Notamacropus eugenii: one gene and its partners. The protein of the gene in region 3 purifies or fractionates together with the protein of the main gene of each other region. This does not show direct contact. Links are inferred from orthologs where the notes say so. Each region holds a gene or a part of one and is shown on either strand. Other genes may lie near its edges.

Region 1 (7,270 bases), on a different chromosome or scaffold from region 3:
TTAGAGGGGGGTACAATCATGTTAAAAAAGTAGAGAGCAGAAAAAAACATTTTTAAAAAATTAAGAATAGATTTAGTGGTCAAATAAAATTTTAGGGAACGATAAATCGCAACACAGAGAGCATCATGAAAAAACACAAGTGTCTCTTAGGCATCATGTGCCAAAGACACTTCAACTGAGGCCAAGGCTCTTTATACAGGCCTGGGAAGGCCCTCGTAATTTTTTGCATTCTACTTCAGTTGCAGGCATTCAATACCAGAAAGACACAGAAAGATTACAGGAAAGTCAGGGAATTATAATAGAAAAGAAAGAGAACTAAAATCAGAGAGAAGCAATTGAAAGAAATGAGGTATGTGTACTTTATAGTCAAATGGCTACCAGCAAGGTATAGAGAGAAAACTAATCCAACTAATGGAAAAATGGCTACAGAAAGAAGTGGAGTTAAACTGAGTAAGATACAATCCTAAAACAATACCCTAGAACTGAAATAACAATTTGAACTGCATAATTATCCCAGTAAAAAAGACACTAATTTATAAATGGAAAACGTAACAGTCTCAGAATAGGTCAAATGTCCCTCCCGTCAAATCCTAGGGCAATTGTTCCAGGTCAGTCTCAGCAAGGTAGACTTTTCCATGTAGGTTCAAGAAATCTGTCCAGGAAATCTCCAGAATCAATCCTATGAGGTTCAAGTTTGCTTAAGCAGATTCCAGTGATGTAAACAGTAACTGTCAATGACCCTTCTTCACACACGGATACTTTAGGCTTTTTAACGTCAGCTGGGGAGAAAATAACTCATCCTGGAGAATACAAACACTGCGTCTCCTAGCACTTTACAGGCTTGCTAGTTACACGGGAATACAGTTCTCATTCTTCTATCTCTTGAACAGTACACTTGGGTTAGAAGAATCCCTCCTATCCCAAGCAGACTGACAAGAGAGCGTCTTTTGATGAAGATAACTAGAATTTATGTGGCGCTTTAAGGGTTACTCCAGAAGTGCTTTATATGCATTATTTCACTTGATCCTCACAACAATTCTCTAACGTAGGTGCTCTGACTACACCACCCCCTCAATCCTTTGCTGTCTCCTAGGCCAACTAGCAGTGAACTACTCTTCCCGAACTATAATGTTCCATTATCCCCATCCCAACCAACAGTCTGCAGTGATGGATACCACACTGCCAACAAACCTCCACCTCATCATCCTGCGGTGCTGCAGAGAAAGAAACACTCGGACTGTTTGCTAGTGATTCACCATCAGCTCAGCAAATTCACTTCATTTTCTGTAGCATCTAAATGGACTTTGTCAATTTCCGCACTGGCAAAATCAAAAGCCAAATGCACTAGCTACAACTAAATATAGAGCAGAACTGAACCGTGCTAGCTTCCCACATACAGCTCCATCAAATCCCTTCTATCCTGACCCACCATTCCTTTGCTATTCCAGTCTTACACTCTCCCCACCCCCAACCACACAGAGACATATATATTACTTCACCAATGTCCTTTATCCTGCGTTGCAGGCTCTCTGGCATTCCAGTCTTGAAACACAGAAGGGCCTCTCAAACGGTAACAGTTTCATTCCCTATCATAACTCCTTTTCCCTTACAGGACTGGATGACTCCAAAATATTCAGAATAAGGAGCTTCCTACAGTTTGAACCACTAGCAGTAACCACGGGTTTTTTTTTCCTTTAAAATTTTTCCCCCTGCTATCTACTCAGTGCCCCTTACAGAAAATCAGTACTTCGAACCATTGACATTGACTGGTTAGTAGAAGAAGGTGACTAAAATAAAAAAAAACCAAAACCTAACTTCTAGCACCCTAGAGATCGTCATACCCTCAGCGGGTCCTCAATTAGCTAATGCTGATAATTCATAGTCATTCCTGTCACAGATGGCAGGCTGGGGAAAACAAAAAGGTCTGAATGGTTTAGGGACACTAGGAAGACTGGTAAGTAATGGAACGATTAATGTAGCTGCCCAAAAGTGTCTTGGGGGCTCTCAATTCAGTACCTCTCATCGGTATCGGTCTTACGGAGGACGCTAAGTTCTAGGGTCTCATTCAAGGACTTCTTCGATCACTCTGCTTAGTTACCACCCAAGACATCGAGTCCAAGCCATCCACTCGGGTGGCTGCCCCTTTAAAACACTACAGCTGCTGCATTTCCACAGCTGCTGCAATGGGCAGGGATATTTCCTGCGACACCAGACCCAGGTAAATAAAGGAATGGATTCAGTGTGTGGTGGGAGGCGGGGTCTTCCTCCCAGAGAGTTTACATAATGCCACAGAAAACAAGTCCGTGAGCCCCGCAGACCTGTCACCGCAGACGCCAGGCTGAAGCCCCCCGTCCTTCCAGCACCCCACCTCCCTCTTCCACTAAGGACTCCCAAGCAGACCCCCTCCCCCTGCCCCTGCCCACCTACCTTTTTATACTAACCCAGCCTCCCACCTCGGATTCCACTGAACTGGGAGTTTGTTCCCAGGGAGAGAAGGGCTCCGGACGGAAGGAAGCACTGCCACAAGTCCACACCACGCCCAGCATGCAAGGACACAACGATGCGAGGCCGGGTGCAAGGACTGCAACGTGCGGCGCGGCCCCCCCAGCCTAACCCGGCTCCTTCCTGCACAGAGGCCGCTTCCCTCCCTCCGCCTTCACAAAGGAGAATGGTTCAGTCCGGAGCATCCCCCGGCAGCACCTGATCCCCCATTATTCACGGGGGAGGAGGGGGAGGAGGGAAGGAGAAGGGGAGTGGAGCTCCCGTGCTGAAAGAGGAGGTGAAGGCCCCGGGGCCCCCCAGAGGAGCCCGGGGGAGCCTACCTGAAAGAGTCCCGCTGCCTCCTGGACGGGGCCGCTTTCAATTCGCCCCGTGCAGAGAACAAGGCGCCTTCTGGCGGAGCATGGTCAGCCCTTGCCTCAGCCTAACTTGCTGGTAGTCCATTCTCCCCAGTCCCCGCCCACTTTGCTCCGCAACAGCCAATGGCGTGGCCGGGCCCTGGACTCATCTAGCAGGGTAGGGTGAGCGCCATCCAGGAAGTCTCTGGAGGGAAGGGAAGGTGGGGTCCTAGGAAGCCGAGCGGGGTAGGCGCCCGAGGCAGTGCCTGACTGAAAACAAAATGAGGTGGCACTGTCGTCTTGACCCTCTGGTCCCCGGGGGTTGGAAGTCCTCGGCATCTCTCTTATCCCCGACTTTTGGGGGAGCTCTGGAGTGAAAGACCCAGTGGCTTGCTCCTGGGAGGCCATCTTGGGCTGGACGGGCTGGCGGGGGTGGCTGAGTGGGGGGGACGCGGTGGACACCTTCCTTCCAGCCTCTCTGCCCCACTCCCCTGCGTCCTGCGGGGAGCCCGTGGGCGTCCTTGAATGGACCCCGCCGAGGGTGACCCCGAGCCTCCCTCCGCCCCGGCGCAGGCCGGCGCCCGCGCCTCTCCCCGCACCCCCAGCGGAGGAGCCAGGCTGGATCCCGCGTGGGCAGAGCCCCCGAGAGCGGAGAGCGCTCCGCTCGCTCCTCTCTCCCGAGAGCTGTCAGTTCCTGGGGTGCTGAATCTGGGCCGGGGAACCTGCCCGGCTCCCTCCGCAGGCCCGAAGGAGAGCTTCGGGGAAGAACTCTGCAGTCTAGGCCCAAAAGCGGGGGCGAGTCCTGGCCCCAGGAAGATTCTGTAGCCCCTCTGACCCGTCCCCTGCAGCGGGGATAGTTCTTGGACCGCTGCCTTCCCACAGTTACACTCAGAAATGACACATGGAAGGGGAGCAGGTTGGACGCATGCATATATTTAATAATGAAATAATTCAACAGCAAAATAATAATAAAAAAGAAAGTAAAGAAATAAAGTCCATGAGGCACCAGTGTGGAAAAGGGGGACTGAGTGACCTAAGCGGAAAGATACAGGGGCTGGACCGGGAAGACGCGTGATGGGAAACGGGAGCAGGGCTAATTGTTTGGAAGATAGCATAATATGCTTTTGTAATACAGGACTGACTAGAAAAGTGCATGCTGATTTGCTGGCCTAGCGGCAGTCAGCCTTCCTATATAGGTCTGCATGGAATGGAAGTGAAGATCCTGGATATGGTAAAGGGAAGGCAAATGAACATGGATCCTAAGAAGGGAAAAAATGAAAATATGGAACCCAGGATCAGCCGTTAGAAGAGACTGGGATATAGTTCCTAAAAGGTGCTTCCAAAGCCTCAGAAAAGGCATACAATAAGGCTGTTCTATGTCTTTGAAGTCAGTCAGAGTTATAGAGTACATATTATGTGCAATACTAAGCACTGTGAGGGAACTGGGAAGGAAGGAGAAGCACAAAACAGAAGACATGGTCCCTGACCTCTATGTGGGGAAGAAAGGTCCTCCACATAAACAACCAATGATACATTTACAAAGAAACAAAACGTGCAAATTAACATAATACTGAGTTTATAAAGGCTGAAGTAGCACTGAGTATTAGACCAATTAGAATTTGGTGGGGTTGACTTTGGGTCATAAATTATTCTTAAACTCACTAAGTTGAAGAACATGGATTAGCATGTAAAAAAGCAAGGAAGAAGGAACAAAAGTCATGTGTAACAAGCTGAGGAGAGCAAGCAGATTTGCTTGACTGGAGGATCTGTAGTGAAATGAGGTTGGTCAGATAGTAAAGATTCAGTTGTTTGAGGGTCTTGACTAGATATAGTCTCTAAAAGAACAAGAATAAAGATTGTTTTCTCTAGGTCCTACATAGAGAAAAAGACCATTGGTCCTGGACTGCCTCAAGAAGTTTAGTTACTTCTCTAAAAGTGGACCCTAAGAGATAAAAATTAACAATGGAAAGGAGTTGCTTACAGACATAGAAAATTGATCATTATCTCTAAATGCTCTAGCAGAAGGAACTATATGTTCCCTACAAGGTCTTTGAAAAAGTAGCAAACGGACCCCCAAAGGGAAGGAAATAAAAAGGCTGCTGAAATTCCCAAGCTGACAAAACCATTCCCACATGGTACACCAGTTCCTTACTCTTTGACATGCTCACTCAGAAGATCTCTGACACTTGTTAACATTCATAACGGGCAGCAGGGTTGTGCTAAAAAAAAAATCAGTGTTTGCTTATCTTTGAACTCTAGTGAGTCTCAGCCTTGCCCCTAACAATTCAGAAATTAAAAGATGAGGATGGGAGTTGGGAGGGGAGAAGGAAGAGGGAGGAGCCCTAATCTATAGGAAATGTTCATGTCCCCAAAGAGGAACTGGTCAGTTAAGGGCACAAATTCTTCCCTAGTCGGGTGGAAGGGCAGGATATCACACCTGGGGATGAGGCTCCCCTGGCCTAAGCAGCCAGGACCCCTTCCCTCAAGTCTGCTGCATGTGGGATCTGTTCCAAGAAGGACCAGATACTATGGCCAGAAATTCAGCAACAGCTCGAGCTGTCACCTGTGCCTTCATAACTCCTTTGATATGAGCTGGGTCCTGATGATGCTGAGGCTGGCTGCTGAGGCCCAATCTTGATGCCATTTGCCTGTAAGAAAAAAAAAGAAATATCCCCAAACCTTAGTGTTAAAATGGAACAGAGACAGGAAGAAAGAGGGAGAGAGAAATAAAACAAAACAAAACAAAAGAAAAAACTGATCACTCTCCAAAAGGCAGGAGGGGCCTTGGAAGGTGAACAATTCTTGTAGGTGCATACTAAACAGCTGCAAGGTCAATCAGTAGTTATATAATGGCTAACTGTAATAGAAATACATAGAATTGTCTAGAATTAGTGGAGGTTTTGTTTTTGTAATATGTATGTGTATGTTTATATATATACACATATATGCATATATATACATATATGCCTTTATTATGTTTAAATTTTTGAGCCACAATAACATGCATACATGTGGTGGGAAGGAAAGAGAGAAAGGGAGGATAGATATGGGAAATAAGTTTCTCCCTTCTGTTTTCACCCCAGATTGTATAGAAGAGGATGGATCCTTCTAATTGATAGTGTTTATAACTTCCCCATACCCAAGGACTGTAAAAAAGAAAAATTTTAAACAGTGAATGAAATGATTACTAACCACTTATTTCTTCAACCACTCATTCTGCATCATCAAAAGAAACCAGGAAGAAATAATGGGTCTCCTGAAGTCTCATGTGAAAAGTCAGATTTAAACTGCCTTAGTTTAAATAGAAAGGCAACAGATGGGAGAAACCTACATTCTAGGAAAATCCTTATCTTATTCAGGTTAAAATAAACCAGTGCTAGGACATGCATCACCCCTTCTCACCTCATTGTTGACATCAAATAAGCCCTGTTGGATCTTCCTATATATTTCTTTGGCTGTGTTAATGAAGGCCTAAAGGAAACAAATCAATTCACATAGAGACAAGGAGAGCTGAATATAGAGAAATAAGAGAAAGAATGCAATAGCTTTTTTCTGTTGTATATCTAAAGAGTGAAAGGGGGAATTATAGAAGACAGGGAAGAAAATCATAGGAAGTCTCAATAACCACGGCACAGTCTTTCTTAAGATTCTTAGAGAATGCTTCCCAAGATTTTCAGTACCATCCTCAGTATTGGCCCAAGATCTTTTCGGGTTGGTGTCATATTTAAACTTAAAAAAATACTGATGTCTTTTGCTTTTATATCACCTTCATTTTCAAATATATCCCTCAATCTTCTGTCTCCAGAGAGCTATCCCTTGTAAAACAGAATAATAAAAAAGGGGAAGGGGGGAAGTTAAACAAAACTATTCAACATAACAACCAAGTCTGACGGAATATGAAATGTTCCACCAGCGCAGCCCCCATCTCTGCAAAGAAGGAAGGGAGATATGTACATTATATACAAACTGAATGAGCATCTTCCTTATCTTACAAACCACTGGGGAAAATATTAGATGAATGTAGGCCTCTAATCAGTTATGCAGCTACCCAACAGTGCTGTATATACCACATTTTATTAATGTTATTTGACCACTTAGGAATTAGTTAAAATGGAATAATTCCATAAAAAGAGAGCACTTGTTTCCCCAATCCACTAAGACTACTCCTTTCCTTACCAAGAAGACTTTGTGCTATTGGGGAAGGGAGTTCTGAAAGAAAGGTAAGAATAATGTCCTGTTAGTCCCTACATCATTTTCTCCACTCCCTTTGGGGCAGTACCTCTTCAACATTAGAGGCGGTTTTGGCTGAGGTCTCCATGAAGATAAGCCCATGCTCCCGAGCAAAGGCTTCTCCTTCTTCCCTTTTCACATCCCGTCGAGACTCTAGGTCACTGAAAGAAATTGATGGAGACAAAAGGAAAGAAAGATCCATA
Region 2 (7,295 bases), on a different chromosome or scaffold from region 3:
TGTAGTTTTTCAATCATCTGCTTTAAGTCCTCTAGGTGGACATGCCCCAAGCATGTCCATTTCATTTCTAAAATTTAACTGCTAATGGCACTACCAATCTCTTTGTCTTCAGAGGAGAACCTTGTAGTACTTTTCATCCATCCACCTAATCAAGCAACAAATCTGACCCTTCTCTGTCATGCCTCTGTCCTCTTTATTTCCATCACAAATATCCTAACCCTAGCCCCTATTATTTTTTTTCCCCTACACTTCCACAAAAGTTTAACTCATCCCATTGTCTCCTTCAAGGTATTATACAGGGGCTAGATACTGGGCCATCATCAGTTGTCTTGATCTTTGTTTCACCACTGAACTTTTGATGACTTGGTGCCCACTCATACACAATTCACCACCCTCAAGATGCCATTGGTTCTCTTTGAGAAGGAAGGATGAACAGGGGTTCTGCATGAAGTCTTTACACAGAGGGAGGACAACTTCCAGAGCAGGTGCTGTGAGTTAAATCTTTTCACGCACAAGCCTCAACACAACAATGGCTGAATTTGTAGGAAGGACTGAACTGTTGATAGAACTTTTTGTATTAAATGTCTTTACCATGTTATCCGAGAGTAACAGTCCTCTCAGGGGACCCAACCCGCCAATTTAAGCAGAAGCTGGAGAATGCTACCCTGGCTTGTTTTCATTCTTGCTTTGTTTCATCTTCTTTTACTTATTTAGTGCCCCCACCCCCCCAAAAAATCTAGTACAATTTAGTTTTTGTCCAGCTTGGTTTTAATTTTTAATTTTTTGAAGTATACCTGTGAAAAGACAGACTTTTAAAACCCAAATCACTCTTCTTTCCTAGAATAGCCAAGAGTAGCTCCAACCAAAGCCTCAGTGACTCATAGTTTAGATTATAGTAATGTTTCAGTTCTAGGCAGAAACTTGGAGGAATTTCCCCTCTCTCCCAAGATAGATATATTTGTGATGGTAAATAAAGCCATCTTTTGTCTCCACTCCCTTAGTCATTGAATGGATGTGGCCTCAGACAAACTGAGACCTGGGAAAGACCTTTAGAAAGGAAGTCACCCACTGCATCCCAGGCCATCACCAGCTGTCTTTAATGCATTTTAATGACTGGAGGAAAGAGTGAGACTGAAACTCTGAGAAGCTCTACCCCATTCATATCTAATACATCACCTTCCAGATGTCATTGGTCTACTTCCAGAAAAAAAAAAAAAAGCAAGTGCCAGGATAAGCTTCCCAAAGTGACTCAAGTCACTCTTTTTGATTAAAACCTTCAAAGGTTTCCCAATAGTTATTCAAAGCACCAGATTTTGTATGAGAGACATTCTGAACCCCTCCCAATCTGTCTCTAGCCTTATTATGTCGATGCAAATGAGACTGAACAAGTCAAGAATCCTCTGCCTAGCCCACCATTCTTTCTAAATGGAATTCCCCTCCCAAACTCTAAACTTCTACTCATCATTATTCTAAGCCTACATCCAAAACAAAAACACTTGCAGAAATAATCACAAAAACTTTCAAAATACTTCTTTCCTTTAATTGGGCTTTTAAAACCATGACCCTAACGTACTAAGTAATCTCTTTGTGGTTTATACTTTTCCCAGCATAATGTATCGTGATTTCCCCCCCCCACCTCTACTAGCATATAACTTCCTCATGACCAGGTTCTTAGCTATCTTCTTACTGTTCACAGGATTATGCACAAAACATGATCAAAATATTAAATCCAATTCAATACATCTCTAAAGCTGAAAATTTTTAGTAAAATTAGATTTGAAAATAAGAACTTTTTTAATGTTAAGAAGTTGAAAAAGGGTATCAGAAGTTGTGGGTTTCCTTTACAGGGGCTGTCCTCTTTTTTCATTTCCACATAGTTTACCAAACAAAAAAATGTTTCAAGAATGAATGACTTTACCTGGAAGAGGGGGGACAGAGTACGACTTCGAGACAAGAATTAACGCTTCAATACAAGTTTATATTATATTAGTGGAATTACCAATCAAGAACTTGCCACAAACAGCCCTAGTGAGTTGGGAAGGATAAATTCACGCCACAAAAACACCTCCCGGGTGATCCGAGCAAACAGATGGGCGAAGAAACTCTTCAATGGGCCATGACGTCACGTCTCGGGCACTATCCCTTTTAAAGCTTTTCACTCCAGCGCCCCAAGGCGCAGCCGAGCCAGGGACGGGGAGGCCGAGTGCCGAGGCCCAGGGAGACTGCTAGGGCCACAGGCTCCGCGCTCCAAGCCCGCCAGTACGCGGACCCCTCCAGCCCCCCGCCGCTGGCCCGAAGAGGGAATAGAATGGGAGGCGGCCCCCAGTCCTTCCCCCTTCTCCGCGCCGTACTTAAAAGAAAAGCTCGGATGCCGCAGGCTCCGCCGCTCAGTCACTGTCTTCCCCCGCTCTCGCAGCATTCCTCCTTCACCCGGGTTACCATGCCGGGTACTAGAAACTTCTTACCGGCTCCCTCCACCCCCGCAGGAGCATCTCGAGCGGCACCGCGCGCGTCGCCCGGACCGAAGGCAAGCCCCGCCCCTTGAAGCACGAACAGGCACCTCTCCAGCCGGACTCCAGTCGTTCCCCGCGGTCCTGCGGCACCCACCCGAGAGGCTCCGACGTTCGGCTCTCGCCCTCCCTCCGGGCCACCTTTGCAGTAGCCGGCTCAACCGCCAAGCGCGCCGGGGCGACGTCACGTCCGACCCCCCACAAGGACCCCCGACTTCCTTCCCCGCCACATAATACAATCAACACGGGGCCGAATATTAAGCACGGTGCGCAACGAATGCCTAGTATAAATGCAATGGTTAATGCAGGTCAGAATAAGCGTCTCTACCTCCGAGACGGAAAGAATCCCCAAGAGGCTAGAGCGAGAGAGTAGTAGGCACACTGGGAGTGGAAAAGGACAGGGCCTCCCGTTCTAACACTTACCTGAGTAAAGCTTTCCGCCATTCTGTTTGCGGAAGTAGTAAGTGCGCCACGCTTCGGCTGTTACGCAACTTCCGGAAGGCGGTGGAAGAAAAAAACTCATTTCCACAGAACGCATGCGCTTTACGTTTCCTCCCCATTCGCACTTGGAGTATCTCTTCCTAAGTAAACTACGTTTCCCAGGGTGCTTGGTGCGGACTTTGCCTTGGAGGCTCCGAGCTGGGCACCCGGCAGGTCGCAAGCACGTTTTGGCTGGGCGAGGCTGGCTGAAGAGAGCGAATGACCGCCCTGGCCGCCTGGGTCTGGGGAGGGTGAAGGGGAGGCCTGGTCACACTGGCTTCAACGGGGACCCTGGGGGGAGTTCGTCTCCTATCGGTGATTGCCGCCGGAAAATCTGCCCTGTCAGGGCTTGCGACCACGGACCCAACGTCTTCCGAGGTACCTCGGCCTCTGTGCTTCCCGGGGCGGGAGAAGGGAGAGGTGAGGGGGCGTCGCTGACCCCCACAGCCGTGGGGAAGAGCAGGGTCGTCCCTGCTGGGGAGAGAAGTGGGAGACGGACCTGGTGCTCGTGGCCAACTGCTTTACCCGAGCCAGTGGGGGAAGGGCACGACCTGCCCTGCTGTGGTGGCTAACTGCCCCAAGGCTCTCCCTCCTCCCTCCTCTGCCCTCATTCTCTCTCGAGGGACAGCCCTTGTCCTTTTTCCTCCATATGCCCTTTGCTCCTCTCTCCTCTCCCCTCCCTCTTCCCCGGTCATAACATTGAGATGGTGCCCCTAGAAGTTTTCTGTTATTTTGTTTGGTTTCTTACCCACGACTGGAAGTTCCCCGCCTCCCCCCTCCAAGAACACAGGCCTACCCCGCCCCCCGTTTTCTTGAGCTGTAACCGCGCCGCGGCCTCTGTAGGTTGGGAGGGCACCGCGTCTGGGGTGGGCAGGCCACACGTGCTTCTTTGGAGAGATGGCAGGGGATGTGTGTGATGAACCTCGCGCGCCCCGCTGCTCGCGCGTGGCTGCCTTTTACATGAGGGCAGTCACAACTGTGTGGACTCTCTGGGAGTGAGAACCCACGTTATTCCGAATTTGACACGCTGGTCTGCAAATATGACTGTTTCTAACGACCTGCAGTAGAGATAAGCCAAATCATTAGTTGATTGTGTTCATATGTAGATGTTGTTGAAAACTATCTTCTTCTGCTGAAGGGATTAGTGTGAAAATGTGCTTCACCATTCAATTTGAATTACTTTACCCCCAAGGCCGATCTCACAGTCTTTAAGGAAAGTTTTAAAAAAGATGAATTTTGTCTCCTGTCAGAGTTTATTGTCAGAACTCTGTTAAAAAAGCAACTGGTATCAGCATTCTGTGAAGGAGAAATTACAAGGCTGCATGTATATATATTTTCAGTTTAACTAGTCGATATTCAATCCTGTGTACATACCACCTCATGAACTGATTCTGGAATAAGACATTGAAAAGACTATATTGACTATAAATTGTTCAATATAAATTATGGTATTTGTGAAGATATTTTCTAAAGACTAGTTTTATCTATTTAGTTGGTACACATTTATGTATTTTTAAAATAATAATTTGTAAGTCAAATCCTTAAGTTAGTGATTCTCATTACAGTTCCAAGGAACCATTAGGAATTCATCATCCAGCAGACTTTATTTCTAATTCTATGAGGTTCTCTTAGTGTTAAATCTTTTGGTTCTTACACCAAAATTTAATATAACTAATTTTGAGGGAAAACATGTGCTTGCATATACTGGAGTTATTCCAAGGAATCAAAAGAGGTATGTACGTCTCATTGATCAATGCTTTTTCATAGATACTGAGATGATTTTTGGTTTGACTTTTATCAACTCTGAATGAATCAGGATCCATTGTGCAAGAATTAGGGCAGGGCAAAGTGTGATAAATAATAATGGAGGGAAGAGGGCGGTACAGATGATAAAAAATAAAAAGGAGTTTGAAGTTTAGCTAGATCCTCAAGTAATGCCAGATAAAACACAAGCTTTGGTAGATCCTGTCAAGCACAAGCCCTGACACATGGTAGGCATTTAATAAATATTTGTTTACTAACTGAAAAAGATTCCGTTATAGGCAGGAATAATTGTTACATAGTCCTTCATTTTAGCCAATTTCAGAGAGGCTCACTACTTTGTATCTACAGTGGCTTGAATAGAAAGAGAAGCCTGAGGAATTTACTCTGCTTCCTACTAAGAGTTCTCTTTGAAGAGTGTGAATTTCTCCTCTCAAATTTGTAATTACCAATGTCAGGAGAACTTGCTATTCTTAGTGGTTCTCAGTGTCACATGTTCCTTAGAAAGCAAGTTCTCCATTGCAAACCTCTATATATGACATAAGAATTGACATTTACAAATACAAAAAAAATTAAAGAAATTCTTCCCAATGGTAGAATAAGGTTTTGAGAGAGATTTTTAAGTAGTGGATATGGAGCTGGAGACTTGGAGTTAAGAAGACCTAAATTTTAAATCTGCTTCAGGCTTTTAATATTTGTGTGATTTGGGGCATTTAAATTAACCTCTCTGAGCTTGTTTTCTCATCTATAAAAAGAGGATAATTATAGCACCTACATCACAGAATCATTATAAGGATCAAGTGAGATAATGTTGGTCTACAAACTTTAAAGCCCAATTTAACTGAGCTGTTCTGTTTTGAGTCTGGGAAGGGGATAGCAAAAAGTAAGAGTTTTGCTCCATGGAAATGTTTGAATCAAAAACTATTATGTCAATTATAATTATTACTATTAATTAGAGCAAATAGTTTGGTGTAATGGAAAGAGCATTAGACCAGGCATTTGGAGACATGTACACTAGTCCAATATTTGCTTATTGTTTGACTTAAGCAAGTCACTTAGTTCTCCTTGAGCATTAATTTCCACATCTCTTAAACTAGAAGGCAGTATGAGATAACTAATATTTTTTAAAAATAAGATTTACATTGGTGCCTACCTTCTCCCACTCCGACAGGTAACTTCACAGAAACTCAAAAAGTTGGAAGGAACTACAGAGGTCATTTGATACAATCCATACCTTCCTCTCTGCAATATATCCTACAGATGATCATCTTGCTGTAATTTCTTCAACAAGGCCACATGATATTTCCAAAGTAAGCCCATTCCCTTTTGGGAAAACTAATTTGAAAGAAATTTTTCCTTAAATTAAATAAGACTATGGAGTCTTAAAGACTTACAGGGCACAAGTGGTTCTTTTTGTTTGCTTGTTTGTTTTTATCATTGCTTATGATAAGGGTTTTAGAGGAAGAAGGAAGATTTCACCAGAAACTGCTGGATAAGAAAAAACTAAGAACAGGATTGGGATTTGTGGACCATAGGCTTCTGGCCAGGAATGAAATATCCCTAAAGAGGGCAATTAAAGATGTATTTACTTGGAATCTTGCAATCTTAATCAAAGACAACTATCTACTTATGTCTACTGTGTGTGTATATATATTATATATATGAGTATGTGTATATGTTCACCCACATCCACTATACTATATAGAGAGAGTAGCTGCAGTATCAGGCTTCTAGGTGGCACAGTAGATAAAGTGCAGGTCCTGGAGTCAGAAAGACTGATCTTGAGTTCAGATGTGGTCTCAGATACTTATTAGCTGTGTGACCCTGAGAAAATCATTTACCCCTTTTTGCCTCAGTTTCTTCATCTGTAAAATGAGTTAAAGAAGGAAATGGCAAACCATTCTAGCATCTTTGCCAAGAAAACCCCAAATGGGGTTAAGAGGAGTTGAAAACAACTGGAAAATGACTAAACAGCTACAGGTGGAAGATGATTAACAGCAGACCCTCCTAGAAATCCACAAGAGACAAAATTTAAGAAAGGAGCCAGCAGTAAAATACATGGACTCAGCTGCATGGCATAAATGCACAATGCTTAGGTAACAAGCAAGGCAGACTAAGGATATTAAGTAGATAATACTCATGTGAGGAAACCTAGAACCCAGAAGGGAAGAACATTTGGGTGAAGAGCAGTGAAGGCAGAAATAGGAGTTAGACTGTTGTCTGTGTGCAGTGTAGAGCAACTGCACAGAATGAAGAAGGGAATGAGGAACATGGAAAACAATTCAAAGGCTAACCATGATAGTAATAAAAGTCTTCAATTATTCAGATGTGCTGAAGTTCTCCCCCTGCCCAAATCAGAATGGTTCAGATTATCATAATTTGTTTTAAATATAATTTCCTGCTTTATAAGATAGAAGAACCAAGAAAGAAAATTGATATTTCATGCCTGGTTCTCACCGACCAGGAGGGACAGGGACATGGGCTTGAAAGGATAGGAACCTCATCGGGATAAGTGACTTCTTATCCAAAGAAAAAGAAAATGAG
Region 3 (7,193 bases):
TGAATATACTTTGGATCCATTCTCTCACCCTGACCCCATAACCTGGAAATTTTCTTTGCTAAATAAGCCAGACTTGCACATGCAGTGACCGAAGGGAAGATAGGGCATCTGGTCCTATTCTGTTTCACTGTCACATGTTCTTGAACAATCAACAAGAATTTATTAAGTTTCTACCCAAGTGCCAGATCCTCTGCTAGGGGTACAAAGACAAAGTAAAGGCCACACTCTCAATCCATCAACAAGAATTTATTAATACTTGAACAATTCATTAATGCTGGCACTAGATGAGAGGCAGTGAATACAGTGAACAAAATAATACCTCCCCCAAGGAGCTCTCATCCTAATGGTGCCTGCCGGGGTCTACTCTAATTCCTGGTTGTTCCACATGTGCTGGCATCTGGTACAAGAGCCTAATAAATGTTCATTCATTTTTCAGAAATGTTTAGGACCTTGAGAGCCTCTCTCCTGCTGTCCACCACCAAGCTTAACAGTTATTCCTTGAGGAAACCTCTTTGCCACTAAATGAAGAGAATTTGCCTCCCAGAGACAGTTTTAGGCTAAAGTGTGTTTTTAGGCCTAATAATTACAAAAGGTGAGACTAGACTGGGCCTCTGACTCAAGTGTGAGACCCTGGGTTAATCTTGTCAACCTATTCATAGAAGCTTAGAATGCTTAAGGTCTAAAACTCCTTCCTGTCACCTGCACCTTTACTTAAACCTTTTCCCAAACCTGTAATGTACCTTCTCTTTGCCTAGAATTCCTAACTTCTCTCCGCTCAAGAGCCAACCACCTCTTCCTCCTCTTCTATAAGGTCTTTCTTGGTTAGTGTGAACCCCCCACCCCTTATTATGTGTCTTGCATATCTATTTACATAGATACAGCTTGGTTCCCGATAGAATATGTGCTCTTGGTTGCCAGGGACTGCTTTGTTTTTGTCTTTGGGTCTTCAGCTCTTAGTATTGTGGCCGGCAGATGGAAAGTGCTTAATAAATAACTTGCTGATTCATTTTTTACGAAGATTAGGTCCTGAGGGTTCCTGCCGTCCCTCTTAAAGAAAGGTTCCAGACCAACTGTAAAATCCAAATGTAAGTGTGACATGGGAGTGGTAGTATAGAGTACTGACCTTACCACGAGGGAAATAAGACATTTAGGTAACAGAGGCCCAGAGTCCCAGGCAGGAGCGCTTCCCCTGGGTCCATGAACTTGTTTTTGTTTGCATCTGTTCATCATATTTCAGTAAAATTCATTTCTTTTACATGCCTACGTGTCCGTGCATTTTAAAACCTTAATTCTGAGCACAAGTCCCAAATAAAATCTCCCCTTCTACTGGAAACCTTTCTGGTTCTTTCTTTCTCTTCATCGTTTCACCGTTCACCTTATCTACATCACTGAACCGTCCGCCGGCTCGTTGCGAGCGTCTTGGGGGCAGGGACTCCCTTTGCCCCGTCCCTGTATCCCGGCGCTTCTGGCGCAGTAACCGAAGAGACTGGCAGCCTCGCGGGGCCGCCCAGGAGGGGCTGGCCGTCTGGGCCGGCACTTTGCTTCTTGTGGGAGCTCTTCACGGCATAAACGGCACGTGTGTGATACTCGGTCTTGCGGAAGCGCGCTTCTTCCCAGGCATCCGCTGCTTCTGGACTTCTGGGCACCCGGCGCTCTCCGTGCCCGGTTATTACCCACAAGCCGGACTGCAGGTCAGGGCGCCTGCTGCCCTACAGGCCCCGCGCCGCCTCCTTCCTCTCGGGGGAGGGCTCGTTCGCACTGGCCGTGTTACCCTTCTCCAGCCTTGATTTAGTCTGGGAGCTGAAGCCCAGTCCTCCAGAGCAGGGGCAGGAAGCCCTCCCGCCGCTGCCGCTTCTCCTTCCGGAGCGCCCCCTCCCCTCCTCGGGCCGCGTGGGGGCGGGGCGGCCGGCACTCGTGAAACCGAGGGGCAACAATAAGAGGTTTCTGAATGCGCAACCACCGGAAATTAACTGAAAATCAAATGCTTAATGAATTCCAGGTGGGCACTTTGCACTGCGCATGCCCGGAGGCCCCGCCACGCCGCAGAGCAGGGGTCAGAGTGGAAAACATGGTAGCCCCGCTCCACAACCTAGCTGCCAGGCTGTTACCCAGCATTAGGGTGAAGATTAACAGTCTCTTTCATTCTTATTTTTAGGAAGCTTTTTGTTAGGTCAATGCAAAAACCTATTTCGCTGTAATCTGCTGTTCATGCTAATATGCCATGGGTCTAAGCAGGATAAATGATCCTTTTTCCATCCACATCTTCTCCAAGTGAAGCACGTCTACTTCCTTCAACAGACGCTCCTCATGTGGCCTGATTTTGAAGCCCTTTGCTGTCTGGGGTGTCATCCTCTTGATTCTCAATTATTTTTTTTCTTAAACGAGTGCCCAGAATTGAATGTAATATTCCAGATGACAGGGGAAAAGACAGCGAAATTCTTTGCTCCCTTATTGTGGACACTCTGCTCTAGCCCAAGATCTCATCAGCTTTGATCAAGTTACTATTTTATACTGTGTGGGATGGCTCAGGTCCCTACATAAATCAATTACTCAGAGGCCTCTCAAAGTGATGACAGAAAAGTGATTTATTCGATTCTCGAGAAGTGGGGTTCACCTGTAGGAGTAGGAAAGACAAAGAACAGGACAGTGATTTATATAGACCCTAACGCAAGTCCCTCCTCCCCCCACTGACCATTATCCTCATTAGCTGAGAATATGGTCTTACATTCTAGACACGAAATCTAACCAATCCCTTTTGAAATGAAGACATCGAGGAATTATGTAAGTTTTGTCCAGTCATTGAGACCCTAATACACTACACAGTTTTATATCCTTATATGGAACTATTCTATTCTAAAAATATTGTAACCTTGAGCCTTTAGGCCTTACCTCACCCCTGGGAGAAAAATTACAATCTGAGGAGTCTTCACTAAGTATCCCACTCAATACTGATGATTCATACTCAGTTTTCTGCCACCTAAATTCTCAGATCTTTTTCAGGTGACCTCTTTGATATACCCTCCCCTCCTGGTTTGTTGTTGTTCATTCATTTCAGTCATGTCTGACTCTATATGACCCCATTTGGGGTTTTCTTGGCAAAGATGCTGGAGTGGTTTCCATTTCCTTCTCCAGCTCATTTGACAGATGAGGAAACTGAGACAAACAGGGTTAAGTGACATGCCCAGGGTCACACAGCTGGTTAGTAAGTGTCAGAGACTAGATTTGAACTCAGGAAGATGAGTCTTGCTGACTCCACACCCAGCTATACGTGACCATTTAAAAATAGCTGGCTGGTTTTTTGTTTTTTTTTAATGTAAGGTCTTTGAAGACAATGGGCAGGTTTTTTTTCAAGAGAAATTTTTTTTTTGAATCATGATTCTTTAAAAAAAAAGATAATTCTCTGAGCCAAAAAAATAAATAATTTTAGTATATTTGGCCTATTGCTCTAACCCATCCAAGGTTTTTTTTTGGATCCTGACTTTGTCATCAAGTATGTTAACTCTCTTTCCCACCTTTGTGTCTGCAGATTTGTTGAGTGTTCCACCTTTGTCTCATCCAAATTATATCAGAATATAGGCTTCTTGAGGGCAAGAACTGTTTGCCTCTTTTAAATCCCTAGCACACTAAATCTAGTGCCTGGCACATAGTAAATGCTTGTTGGTTGATAGTAAACAGTACAAGAATGGAACATTCTGATAGAAACTTACTTCCAAATTGGTAACCCATCTGTTAATAACTACTTTGGGGAACACTCAGCCCAATCCAGATCCCTTGCCTATACTGTGGTGCAGACTATATTTCCCTGTCAACAAAGACTAGCTGGAGAATGTGATTTTCCCCTCCTCCCACCATTTTACAGCTAAAGAAACTGAGACATAGAGAAATGATGTAACTAATTTAAGGTCTTCTAGATAGCAGGTTCCTGAAGAGTGAAAAAAAGTGAATTTCTGCCACCAGCTTGAATCAAGGAGGCCTCCTTGGCCCATGGCATAGGCACAGACACAGATCTAAAAGGACCTTTCTGATAATGTTTCTTCCTTTGGACCTTGTTCTATGGTAAGGTAATGTTTTGATGTGAATTTGTCCTTAATAATCATTATAACTCCCCTTCCTCGGTCCTCCAGTGAAGTCATAAGCCAGTATTTGTGAGATATTCTCCCTGTTGCCATAGTGACAAAAATACAGTCATATAATCACCTTTTTTAGCTCCCCTTGTCAGCTCTGTGCCAAGGCAAGCAGAGGAACAACCACCCTGAGTAGATCTGGATCTCAGTCATGAAAAAGCAACTGTCAGGTAATGAAACTCAATAGGCAACACTGGCAGCCTTTTGTTACCTATCTGTACTGAATAATCATTAGTTACCTAGGAGTGTCCAGAGAGTGTCATCAAGCTTCCTTGCTTTTGTGCTAAGTTGACTTGCACTCTGCCCAGTGTGACTGTGAGCTGCTTGACACATTCTAAGAACTTGGAAGGAGGTCCCAGCCCAGCTTATCAGATAGCCGATCTTCACCTCTCCCCCAACACAGCCTTATTGGGTTTCAACAACTCATTGGAATGTCTTTCATGTCATTGTACTCCATTGACAAAATATCCTTCATTCCTATCTGCCCAATCTTTTCACTTTCTATTTTTAATCTCATAAATTCATTTTTAAATCCCTGAAGCCTTGAGACTGCCATAAAAGCCATAGAATTGCAGGACTCCAGAGCTAGAAGGTGCTAGCATTCTAGTCCAACCTGTAAAAGTTGAAAAGACTCCTCTAAAACATACTTAGAAGTAATAGTCCAGGATGGGAGGGAACCTACTCCCTCCAGACAATCCAGTCAGCATTTGGATAATTCTAACTGTAGGAAGCTTGTCTATGCAAACCAAGCCTAAACTTGCTTATGCACTTTTACCTTGCCCTCCATCCTTCCTTGCTCCTTCTTTTGTTCTTTGGAGCCAAGCGGAACCAGACTAATCCCTTTCCTGTGTGGCAGCCCCTCAGGTTCTTGGAGACAGCTATCATATCCCCCCACCAGGCCTTTTCTTCTCCTGGCTAGACATCCCCAGGACTCATTCTCCTCTCATAAGGTTTCATGGCCCTTCACCATTCTGATCCATATTTCTGGATAGTTTCTATCTTTTATCAGTTCCCTTCCTTAAATGCTGTACCTGTAGTAGTGATGGAAGTAGTAATAGCAGCGGTAGCAGCAGTTACTAGCACTTAATTGCACTTTGAATGTGGCAGGCATTGCCCTGAGCCTTTTACAAATATCTCCTTTAATCCTTGCAACAACCCTGGGAGGTTGGTGCTATTATTGTTATCATCCCCATTTTATAGTTCAGGAAACTTAAGACTGACAGAAGTGACTGACAGAAACCCCTGATTGGCTCTGAGTGAACGTAAATAGTGATTGTTTCTGTTTTGGTCAGAAACCCTGAGAGTCTTTTCCTCCCAGATTGATTTTTTTTTTTTTTAAAAACTAGGTAAAGAAGCCAATCTCTGCCTCATTTTTATTAGGCCTCAATCACTGAATGAGTATTGCCTCAGTCAAACTGAGACCTGTTAAAGACCTTAGCTTAAAAAGGCAAGATCTAAGGCAAGATCTCTCATTGCATCTTGGGCCCTATCCAGTTGTCCTGATTCATATCTGGCCACTGAACCCAGATAGCTTCAGAGGAGAAAGTGAGGCTGATGAAGCCCTCCCTTACTTAAATCCAACTCACTTGTATGTCATGGCATCACCCTCTTGAGAATGAAGGACAGACAACAGCCACCATAAGCATACTAATCCAACTGTGCAGTCTTTAGGGGCTACTGACTACCTTATCATACTATTGTAGAGTCATTGAATTTTCACTCCACTGAAACTCCCAGATTGCTGCTATCCTCCACCTTACCTGTACAAAGTTCATTGTTTGAACCTAAATATTAGACTCTACATATATCTCTCTTAAATTTCGTCTTAATTAGATGTGGCCCAGTGTTCCAACCTGTGAATTCCCTTTTGATCCTGACCTCCAAGGAGTTAGCTTTCCTTCTCAGCTAGCTTTGTGTCATCTTTAGATTCAGCAACCAACGACCTTTATTTAATTCACTGATAATAGATTTTTTTCATTTTCAGTATCAAATGAAGAATTTTTACATACATAATAAAATAGAAGGAGAAGGTTGCACATGAAAACTCGAGTTCTATTATTTACAGCCTTCTTTTTAATCAATATCAATAAATCATTGATAAAAAGGTCCAAGTACAAATTCCTGAGTTTCTCTGGTGGAGATCTTTCCAGTTAACAATGACCTATTAATGACTATTAGAACAAGGTTATGCCAAACTTTTGCATTCATCCTCTGTTGCCTGCCCTTGCATCTAACTGGTGTATATGTATTTTTGAAATTTTATTGTGGCTGATGAATTCCCTGTGTTATCCTTATTTGCCTTTTTTTTTTTAAGATAACTTCCTTTTTTTCTTATTGGAATTTTCCTTTCATGTCAGTACAGTTTCATCAAAAGTTTCTGATTTATCCACATAGTTTGCATAGGATAGAACCCCATGTGGGCAGTCTTCTGCTTCCTAGCTGCCTTTCACAGCACTGATTTGTATCCTTTACACAGGTTAGAGAATACCTAGAAAATACTGGTCTTTTGAGTCAGAAGACCAACTCCTATGCTTACATTCTCATAAGATTGGTGAAAGAAAAATACTTTGTAAACATTACACTGTATTATATATAAAATTCAAAGACTTGTTCCTGTGAAGCCCTTTATCTTGAGCTTTTCCGGATATTTCTTGAGTATATCTGTGTAGGAAGGGAGTTAATGTAGTGGTGAATTTGATGTCTGGGGACCTGAAATGGAATCCTAGCTCAGCTATTTACTGTCATTGTGGTATTGTATCACTGTGGTAAATAAAATCTCTAAGCCTCTTTCCTCACGTGTAAAATGAGCTCCAGATGCTGTGGTTCTATTAGTAGAGGCATCAATCATTCTCAATTCGTGGAAGATAGAATTTGATTTGGACTTTGAAAAATAAATAGGCAAAAGGAAAAAGGGAGGGCATTCTCAGTAAGAGGAAAAACATGAATGAAGACAGGCAAGAATAATGTTGGGATGTCTATGTAGGAGACTGTGCCCATTTGGCAGATGGGAAAACTGAACTATGATGCTCTTTGTTCAAGGACAAGCATGGAACTGAGGATGAGGTCTTG
Region 4 (7,235 bases), on a different chromosome or scaffold from region 3:
GAGTTCTTGATCTGTAGCCCAGCTGCAACTCTGGCAACCTGGCTATTTCCTGGATTTGCCAGCACTCTGGACAGTTCCACAAGGAAAGTGGGCTGGTTAGGAGAAGAAAAATATTTGTAAATGGTAACAGCCTCAGGGAATTTCCCAGATTAAGGTTAGCTTGGTTAGCAACTCATGGGGGAAAAAGCAAAAGGTCTTTATAAAAATTTTAAAATATCAACTTCAAAACTCCACTTAATTGTTTTGCTCATACACCAATAACATGCTTTAAACTGCACTAAGACTTTTGGGATACTCTATATTCACCATCCTTCTCCCCAACTCCTATACTCAGATAAATAAAAGTAGGATAGTTTTTCATTCTGACTGATGTCATTTATACGTTGTCTTTATGTCCACAGCTAACCTGTTCAAACTCAAAGCTAGTTTGTTGATCTACCTGTCAGTCAATAGGTTTCTTCTATGGACAGATGCAGGAAAGGAATAAGTTGACAATTACCTTCTAGGAATGTTCATCCAAAATGGACTAGATTCTTGACTCAGTAAATCTTAGAACTCCGCAGGTCTTGGAAATTCTTTATCATGCCCATTATATACAAGAGATCAGATAAGCAAAGTGATTTGCCCATGGTCACAAGGCTATTTTAGAAGAGTCAGGATTCTCTCCTAAGCCTTCCCTCCAAAGTCAGCTTTATTTTTGCAGGAAGGAAAAGACAAGAGGTAGGAGCAACTAGTAGAAGAAAAAAATTTAGGCTCGATATAAGTTTCTTAACAATGTAAAATTCTACAAATGAAGAATGGGCTGCCTTGGGAAGTTCCCACTCATTAAAGGTCTTCAAGCAAAGGCTAGATGACCATTTGTCAAGTACATTAATAAAAGAGACTAACTAGCCACTGAGGTTCCTCCTAATTCTGAAATTCTGTAATTACTTATATGTAAACTCAAAGTAAAATAATGCTTCAGGAACCTTCTTTGTACCCTATTCAAAGACACTATAAAGGGAAAATAAGCCAGAAGCATTAAATGGCAATAAAATGAAAATTGGGAAGAATAAGTGCAAGGTAAAAGATATGAAGGTTGGCAACAAGGACCAAACTTTTAGAACTAAGGATTCAATTTCAAAAATAGAAGTGAGAAACTGTAAGGCAAGACTTCAACAAACTACTGTCATTTACTAATTTATATTTATCAGTTGCTCCTGACTTTCTAACCATACTGAAGCTGAGCACTCTACTGAAGCTAGAAATCTGCAAGAAGCTCCATCAAGCCCCAACTACTTATAAATGCAGATATATTTAACAAACAGAATATAGCCTCCCCCAAAGTCTCTCAACCCTACTCCCAAAGTTCATAAGCTAAGCCACAAATGGGCAGAGCCAGTCTATGAAATTTGAGACATGCAAGAATTAATCTTCTCAACAGGCAACACATTATTAAGTAACAAGTCAAACAGATTTCTTACAATTCTTCACAAAAATAAAACAAATGATTCATTTATATCAGTAAAAGGTCTTGCCTGCAAAACGTGAAGGGCACACACAGGCCAGTTAAGAAATAAAATAACCTAATTATAGCTAAAATTGTAGTGTCAACCAATACTGACCTTTAAAAGCACAAGACTAAATCACTTAAAAACAGTCTAAAAAAACCATCCATAATTTTTTTCTTTTGGCATGAGGTTCACCTTACGTCTAGTTTAAGTGACAGAAAAAAACATTTTTAGAATATTTTATGGTTCTTCAACCATTTAAAAGAGGACATTATGCCGCAGACATCTCAATCTCAGTTTTATAAGAAAAACACCAAAAGGGGAACATGACTGGCATATGGGCTGTTTCATTCAATCCACCCTAAATTTTTATCCAGAGAAACAGCTCCCCATCAAATAGGGAACTGCATAATTTTTTCATATTCTTAAAATCTGGAAAGTAAGAATAGCAAAATACTTCCTCTGAAACTGCAACAGGAAATAGGCCTCATCTCCTCATTTCTGGGCCACACTGCCTAGTCTAAGACCAACTCCCTGACCGATTAAAACTCTATCCCCATCCAGTTCCATGATGGCAGCAGAAGACCCACACTCAAGGAGGGGGTAAAATATGGGCATTAAGTGAAAGGAGATTTGGGGGCTACCAGGCCAGACTATGGAGGCAGAGTCTGGAAAAGACCAGCTCAATGAAGTGGACTGAGAATGAGAAAGGCCACGGAAAAGGAGAAGCAGGCCCTTAGGCGGGGCGATTGGCCGGGCTCCTAGGGCTTCCACATGGTCCCTAGGCCCCGGCGCCCCAACCCCCACCCTTACTGAACACGCAGCGCCGCGCAACCTAACTTCCCCTCCCTCCCGCTGCACCGCCGCCCTCAGGCCGGGCGGTGATTGGGCAGCCCTCGCCCGGCGCGCCTCGCTATTGGCCGGCTGCCGGGGCCTGGGGCGGGACACACCCACCGGCTTCCCGATGGCGGGGTTAGGTTGGTCCGAGAAGGGGGGGAAGGGAGGGAGAAGGGGGAGGGGGGGCGAGATGGGGCGGGGTGGGTTCCCTAGGCCTGGGCCCCGGGGAGGGCGGGAAGGCCCCAGCCTGGGGGGATGGGAGGGGGCCAGGCGCAAAACGCACCAGGTTCTCTACAGCTGCCCGCTCCAGGAACTTCTGCGCCGCTTCCAGTTCAATCCGATCTGTGGAGAAGGAAAAGGAAGGGGGTCAGGGGAACCGCGAAGAGGGGGAAGAGGGGGCTTCCCCTCCCCCGGTCAGATCACCTCGGTCCCATCCCCCCGCCCCATCTCTCGGCCTCGGCCCTGGCCCTGGCCCCGGCCCCAGCCCCAGCCCCAACCCCGGTCTCGTACCGGGCGAGACGGTCTTTTCGAGGATGGTGATCAGCTCCATGGCGGCGACGGGGGCTCGGGCTCCTCCTCGGGCGGCTCCGGCTTCTCAGACTCCCGCGGTTGCGGCGATGGCTGTGATGGGGGACGGGGGGTTGGGGGGCCGGGTGGGAAGGGAGGGTTGGGGTGGGGGGGCGGGGGTCACCACAAGCCCATTCACCGGCTCCCTCCTACTGGTCGCTCCGGCTTCCCTGCCCGCGTTCCTGCCTGGCTGCCTCTTCTCCACCTCCCCTTCCTTTTCCTCCTGTGCTGCTGTATCGAGGGCTTTGGCTCCTCCGGCTGTGGCAGTGGCGGCGGCGGCGGGGGAGGGACCCCGGGGGCAAGTCGGAGCGCGGCTGGTGCTGGGGCGGCGGAGGGAGAAAGAAGGAAAAGAGGGTGGGAGGGAGTCAGTGAGTGAACGGCGGCTCGCAGGCGGGGAGAGAGAGCGAGAGAAGAGGCGGAGGGATATCCGGGCCGGAACTCGTCGCGGCGGCACCGCGCTCCAGTCCGATTGGCCCCCACCGAGGCCACGCGGACTTCCCGATTGGCCCGCCAGCTGGGGCCGGAGGGCCGCCGCGTGCCTATTCGCCCGCTGCCTGCGAAGCTCCGGTTGGATGGGCTGGCGGCCGGGAAGGACGCGCGGATTGGCGTGGGGGGGCGGGAGAGAGGTTGCCCGGAGCCGCCCGCCGATTGGCCCCGCCTCATGAGGGTGCTGTGCTTGCATTGGCTGGGGGTGGGGAAGGGAGGGGGTAATAGAAGGGAAAGCCCCGGAGGGTTCTGATTGGACGCGGTGCTGGGAATCGATTGGATGAACTGAGGCCGGGCACTCAAGAGAACTGAGTAGAGGAGTTCGGGGTCGCTTCGGTCTGAAAGGCGGGATGCTCTGAGCGGCCGAAGGCCGCGGGGCACCATGGGATACCTCAGGAAAGAGGCGGGCCGGCATCTTAGCGCCCAAGTCGGCGTTCAGGACGCCCCCGCCCAGACCCTGAGCTGGGCTTGATGAGGTCGGTCTAGGCCCCGGGCGCGGGCGCGGTGCTGGGCTTCTTTCCTAACTGATTTCGGCGCGGGCTTTATGCCCGACTGTGCTGAGGCCCAGTGGGTGGCCCGGGGTTGGGGCCGGGGCCGTACCTGGAGTGTCAGGGCACGTGTGGTGCCCTGACGAGGTAAGTTCGCTGCAGACGTCCGCTGAAGTGGAAATTCATGTAGGTGTTTACTTGAACGCCCCTGGCTATCAGCCTCGTTATAAACGTGCTAATTCTGGCAGATCTGGGTTCAAATCCTAATTCTTAAATTTGCGAGCTGTGTAATCCAGAGCTGCTCTCTTAGCTCTGCATGTTTGAGGCACAGCCCTGGGACTTATCAGTACGTGAAGGGAGTGGCCTTACTGCAGAAGAAATCACAGATTCTTCCAGTATTGGGGTGTGTTTAAAATCAAAGCATTTAAAATACCTAAAATTACTTGCTCCTGGAGCAAGAATTGACCGTATTAAATATTCATTAAGCATTTAATAAGTGCTGACACTGTTTTAGGACCTGAGAGTTGAAAAACAAGGATGGTTCGGCCCCAATCTCCAGGGGAGGAAGGGAAAAAATATACACAAAATAATGAGCATATATAAAGTATTTAGGGAGTGGACCACAGACATGTAGAGGAATAAGAAAAGGTAGCTTAAATTAAGCTGAACTACACATTGCAAAAGGTTGTGAGGTGGTAGAACACTTGAGGCTTTAACATAAGGGAAGGAGAAGAATATGTACACAAAATATAATGTGTATACATAAAGTATTTGGGGAATGGGCCATAAATAAGGGAATAAGGAAAGTTAGCTTAAATTAAGCTGAAGCAGGAAGTGATTCCAAGAGGTCATGAGAAAATAGAACATGTGAGGCTTCAATTTCCATCCTGTACGTAAGTCCCCAGAGGAAGCTAGAAACGTGTCAGACAGTGCTTCTGAATCTTCGGACTTCCTCTGGCATGTTAGATCTACTTGTTAGAACACACTTGATTTGGAAACTGTAAAACCCAGATAGACCAATTCGAATCCTGGCTCTGTTCTGGCCCTCCGTTTAATCAAACCACAGTCAAGAGTTGGGAGGGTCTAGAGGTCAAACCACAACTAGTCCATAGAGCCCTCAGAGCTGTCCACTGTACAAGTCACAGTTCTTTCATTTTGTTTTTGCTTTATTTAAATTGGAGACACTAATATTTGCTTACTAAAGTTGAACTAATCTCCTTGAAGCCCACAAGTGATGAGGAGTTCATCCTATCTTTTAACTATTCTAATTGTTAAGATCCTCTCTGAAACAAAGGAGTCGGAGTAGGTAGTCTCTTAAAATATCTTCTGGGTCTAAATCCTACGGCCTTCCTCATTCAATAGTTAGGGGGAAAGTAGTTACATAAGTGAGTTAACATCATTTGTGTTATTTGAGCTTCACAACCACTGGACCCCATTCAATCAGACTTTATAAAAAGTCTTTGCCATGTGCTAGGTATGGGGAGAGATACAAAGTTCAGGTGAGACAATGTTGCTAAGCATATATGGGAGTGGTAGGGAGGGCAAGACACACAAAAATGACTGGTAGACATAATGTATAAGTGGACAAGACATTTTCGTTTGTGACCAGGGAGGGATCTCTCAGGGGAGAGGGACACTGTTGGGCAGTTCCACAGTGTAAAAAAAGAAAAAACATCTATGAATATCTTTACAAAACTTTAAAGTGGGTACATGAGAATACCAGCCAAGAACTAAGCAAGTTTCAAGGGCAAAATGTTTAATACCAAGTAGAGGAATCAAGAAAGACTTAAGAGGTGGAATATGAACTAGGCTTTAAAGGAGGTCTAGGAGTTTAGCCCCCTAGGGTTCTGCGAGGTAGGTAGAGAACACATCTAGTCACAAGAAGCAGAAAGGATTTGGAGGTGGCAAAGTATAGGATGTGTGGGGTCATCAAGGAGTCTAATTTGAGGGGAGGGCAGAATATGTGGAAGGAAAGAGTCTGAGATAAGGCTGGCACTAGATTGTGGAGGGTCTTAAAAGACAAAGGAATTTGATCTTTATCCAGTAGGCAATTGGAGTCATGAAATGATTTGGTTCGATGCAACAGATATTTTATTAAGCACTTAACAATGTATCTAGCATCACTAGAAGAATGTTGTGAAAAGATGAATTAGGAAGGCAATATTGCACATTGGATAGAGAGCTGGCCTTGAGAGGCCAGAAGGCCTAGGTTCAAGCCCTACTTCTGACAACTGGCTGTCTCATTCTGGGAAGCACCCTTGGTCTTTCAGTGCTGCAGGCAGATCTCCAAGACTAAGTTACTGAGCAGACCTGTTCTGGTTGAGGGAGACCTGTGATTTTGCAGGTTTGAAAAAAATAAGTGTGCCAAATCAAAGCAACAAGATGGATTATATGAGGAGGCAGTAAAACTCTGATTAATTATAACTAATCTTAGCCCTGGACAACAGATATAGGGGATTAAAGGCAATGATTGTGATATAAAAAAATAAAAATAAACCTATAAAGACAAAAAAATGATAAGTGGTCATTTCAGGAAACACTTCTAGATTTTGAAAACATGGGATAATATTCCAAATGCAATCCAGTCTATTCATTTCTTCCTATTCAGTTGCCAGTTCATTGTCCATCCAGAGACATGTGCCTCTGCAAGAGATGCATACTGATGGACTAATTTAATGGGCTGCCCATCCAACTGAATGCCCATCTAGTGTGCCTAAACAATACACGTTTTTTCATCCATTTGGTTTTCCCCCATGTGGATTGTTCAATTTTTGAGGATCTCATTGAGGATACTTAGTAGTATTCTGGTATTTAAAGAAAATCAGCACTATGTCATCCTTGAACAGTAAGATCTTAAGTTCATCTATGGAGGAAATCACTCTTCCATGCGGATTGTGTGTGGGTAGCTTCCAGGGCAATTGTGAACATGTTTGGTGAGCCCCTGTACAAACACTGAAGCTAATGGGGGTCACACAAACTTAGACTTAGAAAGGACCCCCAAAGTCACTCTGTCTGCTCCCCTTATTTATAAATGAGGAAACTGAATCTCAGAAGAGTGACTTGCCCAAGATTACACAGCTAGTAATTGCTTCAGAATGGGGGAGGTCTGCCATAGTTTCATTTGTGTTTCATATCATGAGATTTATTGTGTGTGGAGTGATGGAAGAGTAGTAATGATGGAAACAGGATAGCTTAGAGTTTGAGGGTGAAAGGAGCAGAGGGAACATTGTAGCAGACCTCATCAGTGCCCCTGGATGTATGAACACTAGGTTTATGGCTGTCATGCTGAGCTATATGAGTATAGCCTAGAATATTTTACCTGTACCCTGATTTTAGTACTCAAGGTTGTAGGTTCAGACTAAAGTTT

What was found.
Region 1: the proteins of KPNA6 (region 3) and CHD8 purify together in Homo sapiens (affinity purification with mass spectrometry; 4 studies listed by BioGRID and IntAct, with this or other methods). This does not show direct contact. The link is inferred for Notamacropus eugenii from reciprocal best matches to the Homo sapiens genes KPNA6 and CHD8.
Region 2: the proteins of KPNA6 (region 3) and RNMT purify together in Homo sapiens (co-immunoprecipitation; 3 studies listed by BioGRID and IntAct, counting the BioPlex papers as one, with this or other methods). This does not show direct contact. The link is inferred for Notamacropus eugenii from reciprocal best matches to the Homo sapiens genes KPNA6 and RNMT.
Region 4: the proteins of KPNA6 (region 3) and KPNB1 purify together in Homo sapiens (affinity purification with mass spectrometry; 4 studies listed by BioGRID and IntAct, with this or other methods). This does not show direct contact. The link is inferred for Notamacropus eugenii from reciprocal best matches to the Homo sapiens genes KPNA6 and KPNB1.

The regions. Positions count from the first base shown.
Region 1 is NC_092878.1:12,473,512-12,480,781, reverse strand, and holds the start of CHD8 (chromodomain-helicase-DNA-binding protein 8), read right to left. Parts: upstream 3,023-7,270; 5' UTR 2,823-3,022; intron 2,448-2,822; exon of another isoform or gene 2,428-2,447; intron 1-2,427. Other genes in the region: RAB2B (ras-related protein Rab-2B), read right to left, coding at 5,378-5,485, 6,240-6,308, 7,117-7,228. UniProt on the Homo sapiens protein: ATP-dependent chromatin-remodeling factor, it slides nucleosomes along DNA; nucleosome sliding requires ATP. Acts as a transcription repressor by remodeling chromatin structure and recruiting histone H1 to target genes.
Region 2 is NC_092875.1:228,469,285-228,476,579, forward strand, and holds the start of RNMT (mRNA cap guanine-N(7) methyltransferase), read right to left. Parts: upstream 3,022-7,295; 5' UTR 2,934-3,021; exon of another isoform or gene 2,352-2,933; intron 1-2,351. UniProt on the Homo sapiens protein: Catalytic subunit of the mRNA-capping methyltransferase RNMT:RAMAC complex that methylates the N7 position of the added guanosine to the 5'-cap structure of mRNAs. Binds RNA containing 5'-terminal GpppC.
Region 3 is NC_092876.1:77,691,494-77,698,686, reverse strand, and holds the start of KPNA6 (importin subunit alpha-7), read left to right. Parts: upstream 1-4,175; 5' UTR 4,176-4,275; coding exon 4,276-4,294; intron 4,295-7,193. UniProt on the Homo sapiens protein: Functions in nuclear protein import as an adapter protein for nuclear receptor KPNB1. Binds specifically and directly to substrates containing either a simple or bipartite NLS motif.
Region 4 is NC_092873.1:353,612,368-353,619,602, forward strand, and holds the start of KPNB1 (importin subunit beta-1), read right to left. Parts: upstream 3,020-7,235; 5' UTR 2,878-3,019; coding exon 2,838-2,877; intron 2,670-2,837; coding exon 2,611-2,669; intron 93-2,610; coding exon 1-92.